2 linked regions of the Oryzias latipes genome follow. The protein of the gene in region 1 interacts with the protein of each later gene in a pairwise test. Links are inferred from orthologs where the notes say so. Each region holds a gene or a part of one and is shown in the gene's direction. Other genes may lie near its edges. The genes, in order: zbtb10 and mob3c.

Evidence for each region.
Region 2: the proteins of zbtb10 (region 1) and mob3c interact in binary tests that used the Homo sapiens proteins (3 or more experiments, as listed by UniProt). The link is inferred for Oryzias latipes from reciprocal best matches to the Homo sapiens genes ZBTB10 and MOB3C.

What each region holds. Positions count from the first base shown.
Region 1 is NC_019869.2:23,370,146-23,376,081, reverse strand, and holds part of zbtb10 (zinc finger and BTB domain-containing protein 10), read left to right. Parts: intron 1-853; coding exon 854-919; intron 920-2,645; coding exon 2,646-2,821; intron 2,822-4,020; coding exon 4,021-4,302; 3' UTR 4,303-5,936. UniProt on the Homo sapiens protein: May be involved in transcriptional regulation.
Region 2 is NC_019862.2:29,243,329-29,249,849, forward strand, and holds the start of mob3c (MOB kinase activator 3C), read left to right. Parts: upstream 1-2,230; 5' UTR 2,231-2,469; exon of another isoform or gene 2,470-2,496; intron 2,497-2,510; exon of another isoform or gene 2,511-2,564; 5' UTR 2,565-2,653; exon of another isoform or gene 2,654-3,071; intron 3,072-3,240; exon of another isoform or gene 3,241-3,347; intron 3,348-3,745; 5' UTR 3,746-3,887; coding exon 3,888-4,305; intron 4,306-5,280; coding exon 5,281-5,483; intron 5,484-6,521. UniProt on the Homo sapiens protein: May regulate the activity of kinases.

The sequences.
Region 1 (5,936 bases):
CTTTAAGTCCTGCCTGACAATGTGCATTAAATCTAAATGTATACATTGATTACATTTTGAGTATTTACTAGACAAAATAATTTTTTTCTTACTCGCAAAAAGATTTTGGTTTTCTTGTCATTTTAATGAAAGAAACTAAAGTGAATGAAAGTGAAAACACCTTGAAGATCTTGTTTCTGTCATTACCTCCTGCTTTTCCTGAGCTGAACTCCAATCACATTCCCAGACCCTCTCCAGACATGACTGCATTAATACGGCTATAACGCGTTTTCACGCGTCCTATTCTCTAGACTAGAGTAAACGCAAACACGCCTTTGCACAAATGTCCAGTCCTTGGGATTGGCAAAGCCGCTAGGGGCAGTCCTTATCGTACTTAATCCACTCTAAAGCACTGGTGCTGTTCTCACTATTCCAAATATTGACCCAGGGAGAACAAACACACACACACACACACACACACACATGCACGCTCACAACACAGTACAGGGGTGTGTCTTTAATGGGCTGTAAGCCCCGGTGCTTTAGGAAGAGCATATTCAAACACACACAGGTGCTCACTAAAGTTGAGTGTAAGATGAGCTGTTGTGAGGGCTTGGCCCATCTCCCTCTCATTAACCTTCTCCCTGCTGTAAAGCTAGTTAGCTTGTTGCTATGGTTTGTGGAGGACGCTGCTTTGCATTAAGGTCACTGTCTGTGTGTGTTTGCCTGCACCGCGCATGGAAGAGCCCATTGTTTTCCTGTGGGGGTGGTTCGTTTGTGTACAAAAGATATTGTAAGGTGTGCTCCCCCAGGCTCTCAACCACCTGTCATCTCTCTTTCTCCCCACCCCCCTTCCCCCTCCCCCATTTCCCAGAGCTGGCCAATAAGATCCAGTATAGCATCCTCCAAGACTTACAGCAAGGGGAATCCTGGGAGAATGGTAAGAAGCCACTCTAGCGTACAGATGACTACAGTACAGTGTAGTTTAGTGTTGAGTCATGTTTTCTTGTAGTTGTTGTCTGTGTATAGACACTTAATTTATCAAACTATCTTAAACGACCCACCATAATGATCTTTTGATCTATTTTGAAAGTATTCCCAGTTGTCTTTTAATTAGGATTATGCCTTCTAGGCAAAATCAAAAACCTGTGTCGGTTTCTACAATATAGATTCTGCAGAGCAACTGTAGTTTGTTAGAAATTCTTCTCTAGAGTTGTGTATGGGACTGTTGGTGTGGAGCAACCCCGTCCCCCCTTCCCCTCCCCATTGCTGAGACCCCTGAGCAGGGAGCGTGTGCCGCCCCCTTACCTGTTTTCTACGTCACACATGCACTCTTTTTCAAACATTTTATTTATCTGATCCTGATTCATAACGATTTGTACAAAGAAATACTCAGAAATGTAATTTTCATTTTCTTTATACGGGGGGGGGGCGTGGCTCACAGATCCTGGAATTTTGAGTATAAAGAACACCGAAACCCTTTTTATTATAAAACACAAGACTTTGACCTGCTGCAATTAGGACTTTACCAGAATGAAATTTGTAAAAGGCTTCATGACTTGACTTCCCCACAGTCTAAACATGCTTTAAATGTTGTTGGAGGGCATGGCGGCGTTAAAGCTGTGCACCCAGTCATTTAGTCAGGAAATGGCAAAGGGAACAAACAAACAGCAGAAATGGAGCTCAGCTATTTTGCATAGAAAACAAAGTCCGGACTTCGTTTTAATCCAGGCTTTAAAATCTTCACATTCAAACAATATATTGTATCAAATAAGATGGACTAAAAATCCTGATGCAGATTTATGTGTGCCCATCTTTTTAGGATTGATCAGCTGAAGTAATTTACAGAGCATTCTGCTTAAATGTATATACTATGTGTCTGGATGTTCACCCTTTTTATTATTGAGTGATCCAAACGACATGAACCAGTATTTCTGCGTCTGGTGTTTTCATGTTCTAAGCCGATGCAGGGAATCTGAAATTAGTTGAAAGGGTGGAGCTGAGGCTAAAAATGGCAGCAACAGAGTTCAGGAAGGCTTGAAGTCCTATTCACTGCTGTTTCCACAAACTCTCAAACATCCTCACTTTTTTTTTTTTTAAATAAAAACCAGATCTGAACTCGTTTACTTTAGTTCATTTTTTTTCTCCCCCCCCGCTTGTTCTTCAGTGATCATAAAAAAACTGCCAATTCTTTACTGTTGCCCCCCCCTCCCCCCCTTCTGGGCTGTGTTTCACATAGTCACACAAGTGAACATGCAGGTGACCTGCTTCTTATCAGCCGTCCCTTTCCCCCACATAACAACCCACCTTGACGACGCATTTGTTGTTCTCCCGGGCTTAAACAAAGGGATGGGCTCTGTCCTCCTGCTTGCTTTGTGTGGAAGAAGATTGGCAGTCGGGCAGGAACATGTTTGAAAATCAATGCAGCTATTTGCGAGCCTAGCCGTCTCATGGAAAAGGGACATCTCATGTTAATATACTTATTTTAAATCACCGTTATTCAGCTTATTTTGCTGGTCTGTAAAACGGTTCTGTTAGCTTAGCAGACACAGCAGTACAGTGGCTGCGTCTTTAAAGTGTCTTTCCGATCCATCTTTTTTTTTTTTTTTTTTAGTCTTAGAAACAGAAATTATTAGAGAAATTTGATCCTTTGTGTCTTTTCCCAGGTGAGTCGTCACATTTAACCCTCAATAAGCTAAAGTGCCCCCACTGTAACTACATTGCCAAGCACCGTCGCACACTCAAGAGACACCTGATCATCCACTCAGGAGTGCGTTCCTTCAGCTGTGACATCTGTGGGAAGCTGTTCACTCGCCGCGAGCACGTAAAGAGACATTCCTTGGTAAGTCGACATATGACTTTTTAAAAATGTTCTGCTCTTTTTTTTACCCCCCCCCCCATATCTGCCACAGTCTGCAGTGGTTCAGCTTTCCCGGACAGAATAAACGGACAAGTGGGCATTTTTGTCTGCAGAGTTTTTAATGTGCTGGACATGATGCACAATATAAAAATGCAAAAATTGGAACGATGCCTTTCATTTTTTTTTGACTCACAATATGAGATTCTTACAAATGCCTAATTATGTTATTAAAGGTGTCCGAAATTCTAGAAAATTAATCAAAAACACAAAGAAAAAACATGTTGAGAGACCGGAAAGAGGCTGTTCTGTTCCAAATGAGCTCATTGGAGTCGAGGCTCTTATATTGTAGTTCAGTTGAATCCAGTCCAGGTTTTACTACTTGGTCTGAACGGCCTGCATAGGAACCAGAAGCAGATGAAGTAAATACTTCCTGGGGTTTGTTTTTACTGCTGAGCTGTTGGGTCTTTGATTGTTTCTCCGTATGTTTACAGTAAAAGCATTTCTGTTGTTAAACCAGATAACAGCTCACATGAGGAGAACGGAGATGGACATGGATCTACTTTTCTAGTTTTTTTTTTTTTTAAAACCCCATATTTTCGTCTGGTCCTGATGCACAACGATTTGAATAAAGAAATACTCAGAGAGGGAATTTTGATGAAGATCTGTGTTATACATGTCCTCTATCATGAGAAAAATGCTACGAGAACATGTTAGAAACACCATAAACACAATTTCCATCAGAGTGGATCTTTAACTCTTTTGTCTTCAGATTTTTTGGGACACTAATGAGGTGAAAATGCTTTATTCCATTCAATATTAAAACGTTTAAACCGATTTTTTTTCTGATTTTGAGTCGTGAAAACATTTAGATACTATTTGGGCTGATTCTATAGTTCTCCAAACATATGTGCTAAGGAGGTTAAGAGCTGCTTTCTGAGGTTCAGTGGAAGATAACGGCGTCATTTTCTGAGCTTGGCGTGTGACACATCAGTCCTTCTCATTCACGCTGTGACTTTTTTTCTCCCTAAACGACCCCAAACAACGAAACAGGACCGTAATGTCTGGAATGGAGCTTTTTTCTGATGCTTAAATACCTGCTCTGCTCTCAGGAGTGATGATTTCATGTTTGAAAATGATGACTTCAACCACCATCCTCCTCCTCCTCCTCCTCCTCCTTTCAGGTTCACAAGAAAGACAAGAAATACAAGTGCATGGTCTGCAAGAAGATCTTCATGCTAGCCGCCAGCGTCGGCATCCGCCACGGCTCGCGGCGCTACGGCGTGTGTGCGGACTGCGCCGACTCGCACCAGGCCACTCAGGAGGGCTTGGAGGGCATGGAGTTTCCCCGCGATGAAGACTTCGACGGCGAGGAAGGGGAGGACATGGAGGGCGAGGAGCCCACAGACAACGACCAATCAAACTGCGGCGAGGGCACTGCTGTTGCAGCCCCAGAGGAGGACTGAAGAGTTATTACAAGCTTGAGAAACAAATAAAAAGTTGATGTTTAATATATATGTACACACACACACACACACACACACACACACAAACTGGCTGGTAAACAATCAACTCCAAAGTGCTATCAAACCTCAAGGTTACTTAATAATGCGAGTAAATGACCGAATTTTTGTTTTTGTTTTAAAGCGTCGTAAGATGTACAGGTTTTATTCTTAAAACATGTCCAACTCTGAGTCCAGAGCCCACAAGCGAATGAATCAAGTGACAAACGCAATGAATCAGGTTTGGGGTTTGTTTTCTGTTTTTTTTTTAAGGGCATGAGTCGGGCAGGGTGATGTAATATTTGAGTTGAGGTAGGCCAATCATTGAAAAACAAATGTTAATTATTTAATTTATGAAGAGAGGTTATTATGGTCTTATCAAATGCTATAATTTGTGTTTGTGTTTTCGTCTGCGAGCGGAGGCGTAGTAAACGCTGTTGCTTTCTGTCTGAGATGTGTTGCGTAGTGCTTGTAGAAATACACAGAAGAGCAGGTTTTTTTTGTCTCTGTAGATCCTGTTTAGACCTACTAAATATATTCTGTTTTTCTTTTTGAATTTTATTTCCATGCACAAATCTTGGAACCAAATAATCTGTTTTGTGACTCTAATGTATGACAGCCGTATTTATGAGTAATTTAAGAGGGCTGTGATATGAAAACCAAACAGACCGCACACCAAGATTGAGCAGGAAACGCAAAACTACTGAGTAACGCCTAAACGAGACGAGCGGGGATGCTGGGGTTGGTTCTGCGGGGATAAAAGGTTGATTTAAGAAAAAAAATAAGAAAAAAGAGAGGGGAAATGTTATTGCTAGCTTTATACAAATCACAGCGTCACAGTAACACTTTATTGTAATACAAGAGCATTTGACTTTCACTTAAAGCTTGAATTTTGCCAAATGATGAAACGTTTGGTGCTGTAATGCTTGTTGCATAATACTGGACCTACAGGCTATATATGATGTTTATAATCATAAAGCTTAAACTGACTCAGTTATGCATATGTAATCAGCTTAATCTATAGAACACTGTTGTGCTTCGGCGACTATCAGGTATGCTTTGCCATTGTTTTTATTTAATGCACACTTACTAAAACATACCATTTTTGTAGAACTATCAGCAGTTTTCGGGGACCTATGTTGACACCAACATCTGTATGCGTTTGTTTATATTTGGTACTGAGGTTTAAAGGCAAAACAGTATATATATATATAAATATATTTTGAATCACTTGAACGTTGGTTGTGAGGTAGGGTGGGGGGGCGCTAATGTGCAAAAATCATGTGTGACATTTTTAAGTCTGACAAACAGACAAAACTCCATTTTCCATTTGTAAACCATTGAAAGAACTGTTTTTGCTTTTTTCCAAACAGGTCTGCCAGGTCGAAAAGAAAACACTTTGTTCCACAAACGGTGAAGCTCTATGGCGCCTCATAGACATGCACTTACTTTTGCGTTCATGAAAAAAGAAAAGTTCTTTTTATGTTTTGTGTTTTCCCCCCCATAAGCGGGTTTGAATGGAACTATCAAGAAAAAAAACTTCCAAATGCTCAGCTTTTTTTTTATTAATGTTTTTGTTTTTGCTATTTAATATTATA
Region 2 (6,521 bases), on another chromosome or scaffold:
TGTTTCCATCAAACGTCCACCGTGATAAGACGCTCGCTCTGTTTGTGTGATTATGAATCATCCACCAGGTCATGTCATTAAAACACTGACAGGGACGTTTCCTCTCAAACTCCTCACTGACTTTAACTAAGAGGGACAGAAACCACACCAGAAATGTGCTGGATGTGGATGAAGCCTTGAATTTTACAGATAAAAGAAAACAAACAATTTTTGCAGCTCGTTTGCAGTTTAACTCTCCCAACCTTTGAAGCTATAAAAGTTGAGTGAATTGTTCATGTGGAGTTTTTGTGCTGCCAGTTGGTTTTGTCAGACCGCATGGTTTGGGCTTGCCGTAAACTGTGGAGTGACAGTCACATCGTATAGAACGACAAACGCCCTCGCTCGTCTACTTCCTCCTGTCACATTTTTTTACGATGAAATGGGAATGTTTGAGTCACTCAGGAAACGCAAGTTATGCATGAGACATCGCTGCATTGCTGCATCCATGCCTTGGAGTATAGACTACATTTTTCTGTTTGTTTTTTTCTCCTCATGACTCAATACTGAGAGTGAAAAAGGTTAAGTTCCTTAGTTCTGCTGTGAAACATCACTCAGGAATTAGTTATTAGTGATTACAGTTAAAAAATATATAACACAATTAAAAATTGGTAGTGTGACGGTCGTTTTAGTTTACGTTTATTTTAAGCTCAGTGCACAACTTGGATGTTTGATTTTATTTACTCATATCATTCATTCATTTCAGTCTTCATCTTCTGAACCCGTTTTGTCCTTTTCGGGGTCACATGGCTGCCGGAGCCTATCCTCGTCGGCGAAGGCAGGGTACATCCTTGGACAGGTCTCTGGTCTGTCTCATATCAGTTCTGTTATTTTGAAATGAAATCTTCTTTTGGCTCCAATCTTCAGGCATCGTCAACAGGGAATCCTCCGGGTTAGATCGTGTTTCACGTTCTTCTCATCTAAACTGAAAGAAAAAACAACATTTCAATGGTGACTTGGTAAAGTCAAAGCTGTTTTATGCCCCTCATATTACACAAACTCATCTGTTATCTGTGTAGAGACATGTTACTTTGCAGTTGAAGACAGGATTTTTCACAGTTTGAGGTTGTTTTAAAAAGTCCGAATCATTCATTTTTGATTATAAACTGAATGTATTTTCAATGAAAGAACTGAAATGCTCATGCAACAGGATAGAGTTCAACCCCATAACTTCCTGAAGTTGAAACGTTATAAAAAATCATAATGCTATATCGATGACCTCTAGTGGATCTATTGAGCTACTGCAATCCAGTTGCTGCTTTGGAAACATTTCAATGTATATAAAAGGGCACATAAATGTGTATTTGAAGAAGGATTGGGTGCTGTGGTGCAGGGGTAGAGTGGTCACCCTCTGATCTGTGTCCGTCCCTGTGCAGCCATGTGTTGAAGTGTCCTTGGGCAAGACACGGAACCCCACGTTTTTCTAGGTGGTTTCATGTTGTCGCCAGTGTTCTGCAACGGCGCAGCCAACAGTGTGAGCTATATCAATATACAGCATTGACCATTTTTTACCATGTAAAGGAAGCCCATTTGTTACTACCAAAGCTTTGCACCACAAACATCCTTGCTCATGTTTTAATGGTTACATTTTGAAACTAAATTCTAACTGATTTGGTTATATTTTTGGGGGGGGGATCTCCCAAAAAGTTGAGTATTTTGTCTCAATAAAACTACGAGCGGGATCTTTTTTGTGTCATTTTGTCACAGAGCAGAAAACAAACTCTGCACACTTCAGTGGGACTCTTTCATTTTGAGACAAAGACACAAATGAGCCTAAAACTTTAAGCCCCTGAATGGATGGAGGAAGTAGATAGTTGCCAGCAAACACGCCTCGTCTGTTTATGAGTGGAATGCTGGTCGATGGAAATGTTCTTTTTCCATGTGTGGAGGTGTAAAATACCTTTCGGTGTGCAGCAGGTCTCAGACCTTTCAAATGTCAATGGGTTCTAACGCCGTTCTGATATCCAGACTTAAATGCGGACCCCCTGACTGGCTCTGTCCTGGATCAGAATGAGGGTCTGTTTTCAGCAGAGGGCTGGGTTCTAATCAGATGAGTGGGCCGGCTGCCCTGCAGCGGGATGACAGGGGGAAAAAAATGTAGTGGGAGGCACACAATCTGGGCTTGGTGAGCCGTTTTTCCAGTCCCTCTTTTCCCTTTTTTACTCGTAGGTTCTTGGACACTCCCACTGACACACACACACACACACAAGTAGATACCACAATGGAGAAGACAAAGTCAGGATGTGACATCAACACAGGAAGAGAAGCCAAAACAAGTTTTTTTTTTCTCTTTTTCGCCGTGTTGGAGCCTCTCAGACTGTTAGGATCAGAATAGAGGAAAGCTGGAACTGACCTCCACAAGGAGTTGAATCCTCCCTGAACTTTCCACAGATTCCCACCACATTCCGTACTCGACTGTGGGAATTCAGTCAGGTACAGTGGAGACAGATTTTCCATTCTGTAAGCTTACTTACCCTTCCTCTTTTGGTTTCCAAAAAAACGTTTTCTTTCTCGGCGTAAATGAAAAGGTCGTGTCGATTCCTCGGTCGGTGAAGACCAGAGAAGTGTGCATGCAGACGCGAGAGGACACGCTTCAGGCTGGTGAGGCGTGAAGAAAGTGAGCCAAACTGATGTCATTTTGTTCCTCATGCTATGACATTTGAAGCCATTGTAGTTCAAGAGACCAATGATGTCAAAGGTCATCTTGAATTGTAAACCAAAACTTTAGATTCCGTTCAGCCCCACTCCCATGCTTCTCTGATGTTATTTACGTCCCCCAGTGGTCAGCCATGAAGTGAAACCAGACGCACCAAGAAAGCGGGTGAGGGACGAAGCAGCTTCTCTGCTTTCTGACGTTTTTACTGTTATCTTGACAGACAGAACCGAGGCAAGAGAGAAGCGATGCGGTTCATGCATGTGGAGAGGGATTTTTTTTTGTACAACGGTTCTCTTCAAAACGTCAGTCCGAGTCGGTCACGAAGAGGCAGAACCTTCTGCTTCTTCAAGTTGCTTAGAGAAAGCAACCGCAGGAAATGGTGCGACTTAAAACGGGACACAAATGCGGATATAGTATCAGGTTGCAGCCAGAGTGACTGGCTGTCACATCTGTGTCCTCGGTGTGGATTCCTGCAGGACACCGGGAATCAAACACCAACACGTTCTCCACACAAACAGCTTGTAACGTTTCATTGTTTCAACAGTTAGAACCTTTTAAAATACGACTTCACCTAACATGTAATTCAAAGCTGTTGGAAAAACTTCAAAATGAGGAATCGGCTGTGAGTTTTTCCAATTGAAGAGGTTTTCTGCCTGTGAGTGATGAGATCATTTCTCTGGGGAAATTTCTCTGTGTGCTCTTTAAACTGATAAATCTTTGTTGAGTCTCAGTCTGGCGTTCACAAGTCCCGGTTAAGCTGGGCTCTAATGAGCCGCATCTCTGTCCTTTTTATTATTTGTTTAGATGGCTGGCTCCGAAACTCCTGTGATTGGATCCCATCCATCCTTTAAATCAGCAGAGTTTTGATCGGCCGTTTTGTTTTCCTCCTTCAGACTTCAGTACTGCACAGCTTCAGGCACTAACGTAGGGTTCAGGAAACCTGTGATTCAGTGCTCTTGTAAACAGTCGGTTTGCAGCGTGTCTTTTGCAACCGTGACAGAATGAACTCCGACATTTTTGGACCACCTCTAATGTCTCTGCTGTGTTTCACAGAAATATCCTCCCAAACATCAAGTCCCTGCAATCTCTTCATGAAAGACACGGACCCCTCCTGACCCGTTTCAGCCGTCCTGTCCCCTCTCAGGAAGATTGGAATTTCAGTCAGACCCAAGTGTTATTCTGGAGAGGAAAGTCAATGGCGCTCTGTCTCGGACAAGTGTTCAGCAAAGACAAAACCTTTAGGCCGAAGAAACGGTTCGAACCCGGCACTCAGCGTTTTGAACTCTACAAGAAGGCCCAGGCTTCGCTCAAGTCAGGCTTGGACCTGCGGAAAGTGGTTCAGCTGCCAGAGGGGGAGAGCCTCAACGACTGGATCGCAGTTCACGTTGTGGATTTCTTCAACAGGATAAACCTGATCTACGGCACCATGAGCGAGTACTGCACGGAGCGCACATGTCCCATCATGTCTGGGGGGCTGAAGTACGAGTACAGATGGCGGGACGGCGACGACTACAAAAAACCCACCAAGTTGCCCGCCCTGAAGTACATGAACCTGCTGATGGACTGGATCGAGTCGCTCATCAACGATGAAGACATCTTTCCCACCAGAGTAGGTGTGTGTTAGAAACCAATGCCTGGAGGTGTCTGCTCTGGTCTGGAGGGTGTAATTTGAGGAACGTGTGCCTGCTGCTCTCAGTGATGTGTTTGTGGTGTCAGAGTTCAGGGCAGTTCTGCTCCATTAAACTTTCAGATGCGGATGCTGAGGTCAACAAGGGTTAATTACACAACAAACATGACATTTACAGCAGATTAATTAATGTTGGCTTTATGTTATCCTAATGCCAGGTTTGACAACAAAGAGTTATTACAGAAAAACTCAGCCCTAAAAATTGGTGTGTGAACACAGTGCATAAAGTTTGTGGAGGGAGCTCTGGTTTCCTTTAAAAATACAGAAAAAATACAATAAAAGGTTATGTTTGGCTCCAACATTAAATGGGTTTTCCATATTCTTCATCGCCTTCAGAAAGAACAAGACACCAAACAGTTGTTAAGAATGCATAAAACACATTTTTGGTCAATTACTTTTGTAAAATTAGGCTTAATTGATCCTAAAATACTAATTAGCAAATCGGAAATGAGTTGTCTCTGTGAGCAACATTTGTCATTTTACTGATACAGCAGTTCTTTTCACATTTGCATTTATGTGTAAGAGATGTAAAAGTATTTTACACTTGAAGTTTTGACTCACGTTTCTACTCAGCGGCCTCTTGGATGAGTGTCTGCCCTGAGAGTGGAAGGTGATGAGTTCAAATCCACACTTGATTCATACCAAAGCCTTCCTGCTTGACACTCAGCATTATGGAGTCAAATTGGGGGGCTAAGATGCCAAATGGTTTCCAAGTGCCGCTGTTTCTCACCAGGGAGGGGTCAAATATAGAAAACTAACTTCCCACACTCCGGTGTGTGACAGCTAATAGGACTTTGACTTTTAAAAAATTGTAATGTTTGAACATCACTGCTAAACTACATATTCTACACAAGAAAATAGTTTCTATCTCTTGCTGATTGTGTTTTCTTCCTCACCTCAGGTGTACCTTTCCCCAAGAACTTCCAGCAGGTGTGCAAGAAGATCCTGAGCCGTCTTTTTAGGGTCTTTGTGCACGTTTACATCCACCACTTTGACAGCATCTGCAGTATGGGTGCGGAGGCCCACATCAACACCTGTTACAAACACTACTACTTCTTCATCTCAGAGTTCAACCTCATTGACAACTCTGAGCTTGAACCGCTGGTGAGTCCGCTGACAGAGTCAAATAAAGAAGGATGTTGTAGCAAACAAACCAGAGATCTTTCATAGCGTCTTCTCTGTGAGGAAATGCTTCATGTGTCTGCAAAGAGGTCATGCTTGAGGAATATTAACAACTTCATATCAAGTACACCTAATATATTCTGGCTATGATAACCCCTTCATGTCTGAATTTATTTCCAATTTTATAAATATATATATATACATTCTTGTGGGTTTTTTTTTAACACTTGAGGGGATACTAAATTAGTTTTTAAGGAGTTTTTGATAAAACAGTATATTGCAACACACAGCGTGAAGGGGATAATTTACTGTCCAAAAAGGTAGTACAAGGTACTCTACTGTGACAGTTTTACTTTTTTCCATTAATATTTACATTACATAGTGAAGAATATTTGAAAAAAAGTATTATTATTATCAGTTTTATTATAGACTTCGGAAAAAAACAAATGTAAGAATTTTGGTATTTAATAACAAGGTAATTTGCTTCTCAAAGCAGATGAAAAGTGGAACAGGAAGCACCAATTTTAACTTAAATTCCCACTCTGATCATCTTCTGATCCATTTTCAAGGCTTTCCCAAAAGTATTTGATTCATGATGATGCTGTTTTAAGCCAAGACCCAATAAAAACATTGTTTTCTTGGACATAGTTTCTGTTGAGCAGCAGGAGTTCATGATAAATTCACCTCTGACCTCTTGTGGCTGTTGGTGGGGAGCTACCCTGCCCCCCTTCCCCTTCCCATTGCTGAGAGCTCTCTGTTTATGTGCTCTTCTGCTAGCTTACAGCACCTCTCACCCCCGCCTCACATCACTGGGGCGACAAAATTCAATTCAATTTCAATTTTATTTATATATAGTAGCCCAATTTACAACACAGTCGTCTCAACGTGCTTCACTAAAAAATAGAATCAGTTTTACAATACAATAGCTGACTGCTAAACTTAACTAAGCAGACTAAACTGAACACGCCACCCCTGTCCTGCCTGGACCCTCCTTCTTGGTAAGAAAAAACTCCTGCAGGA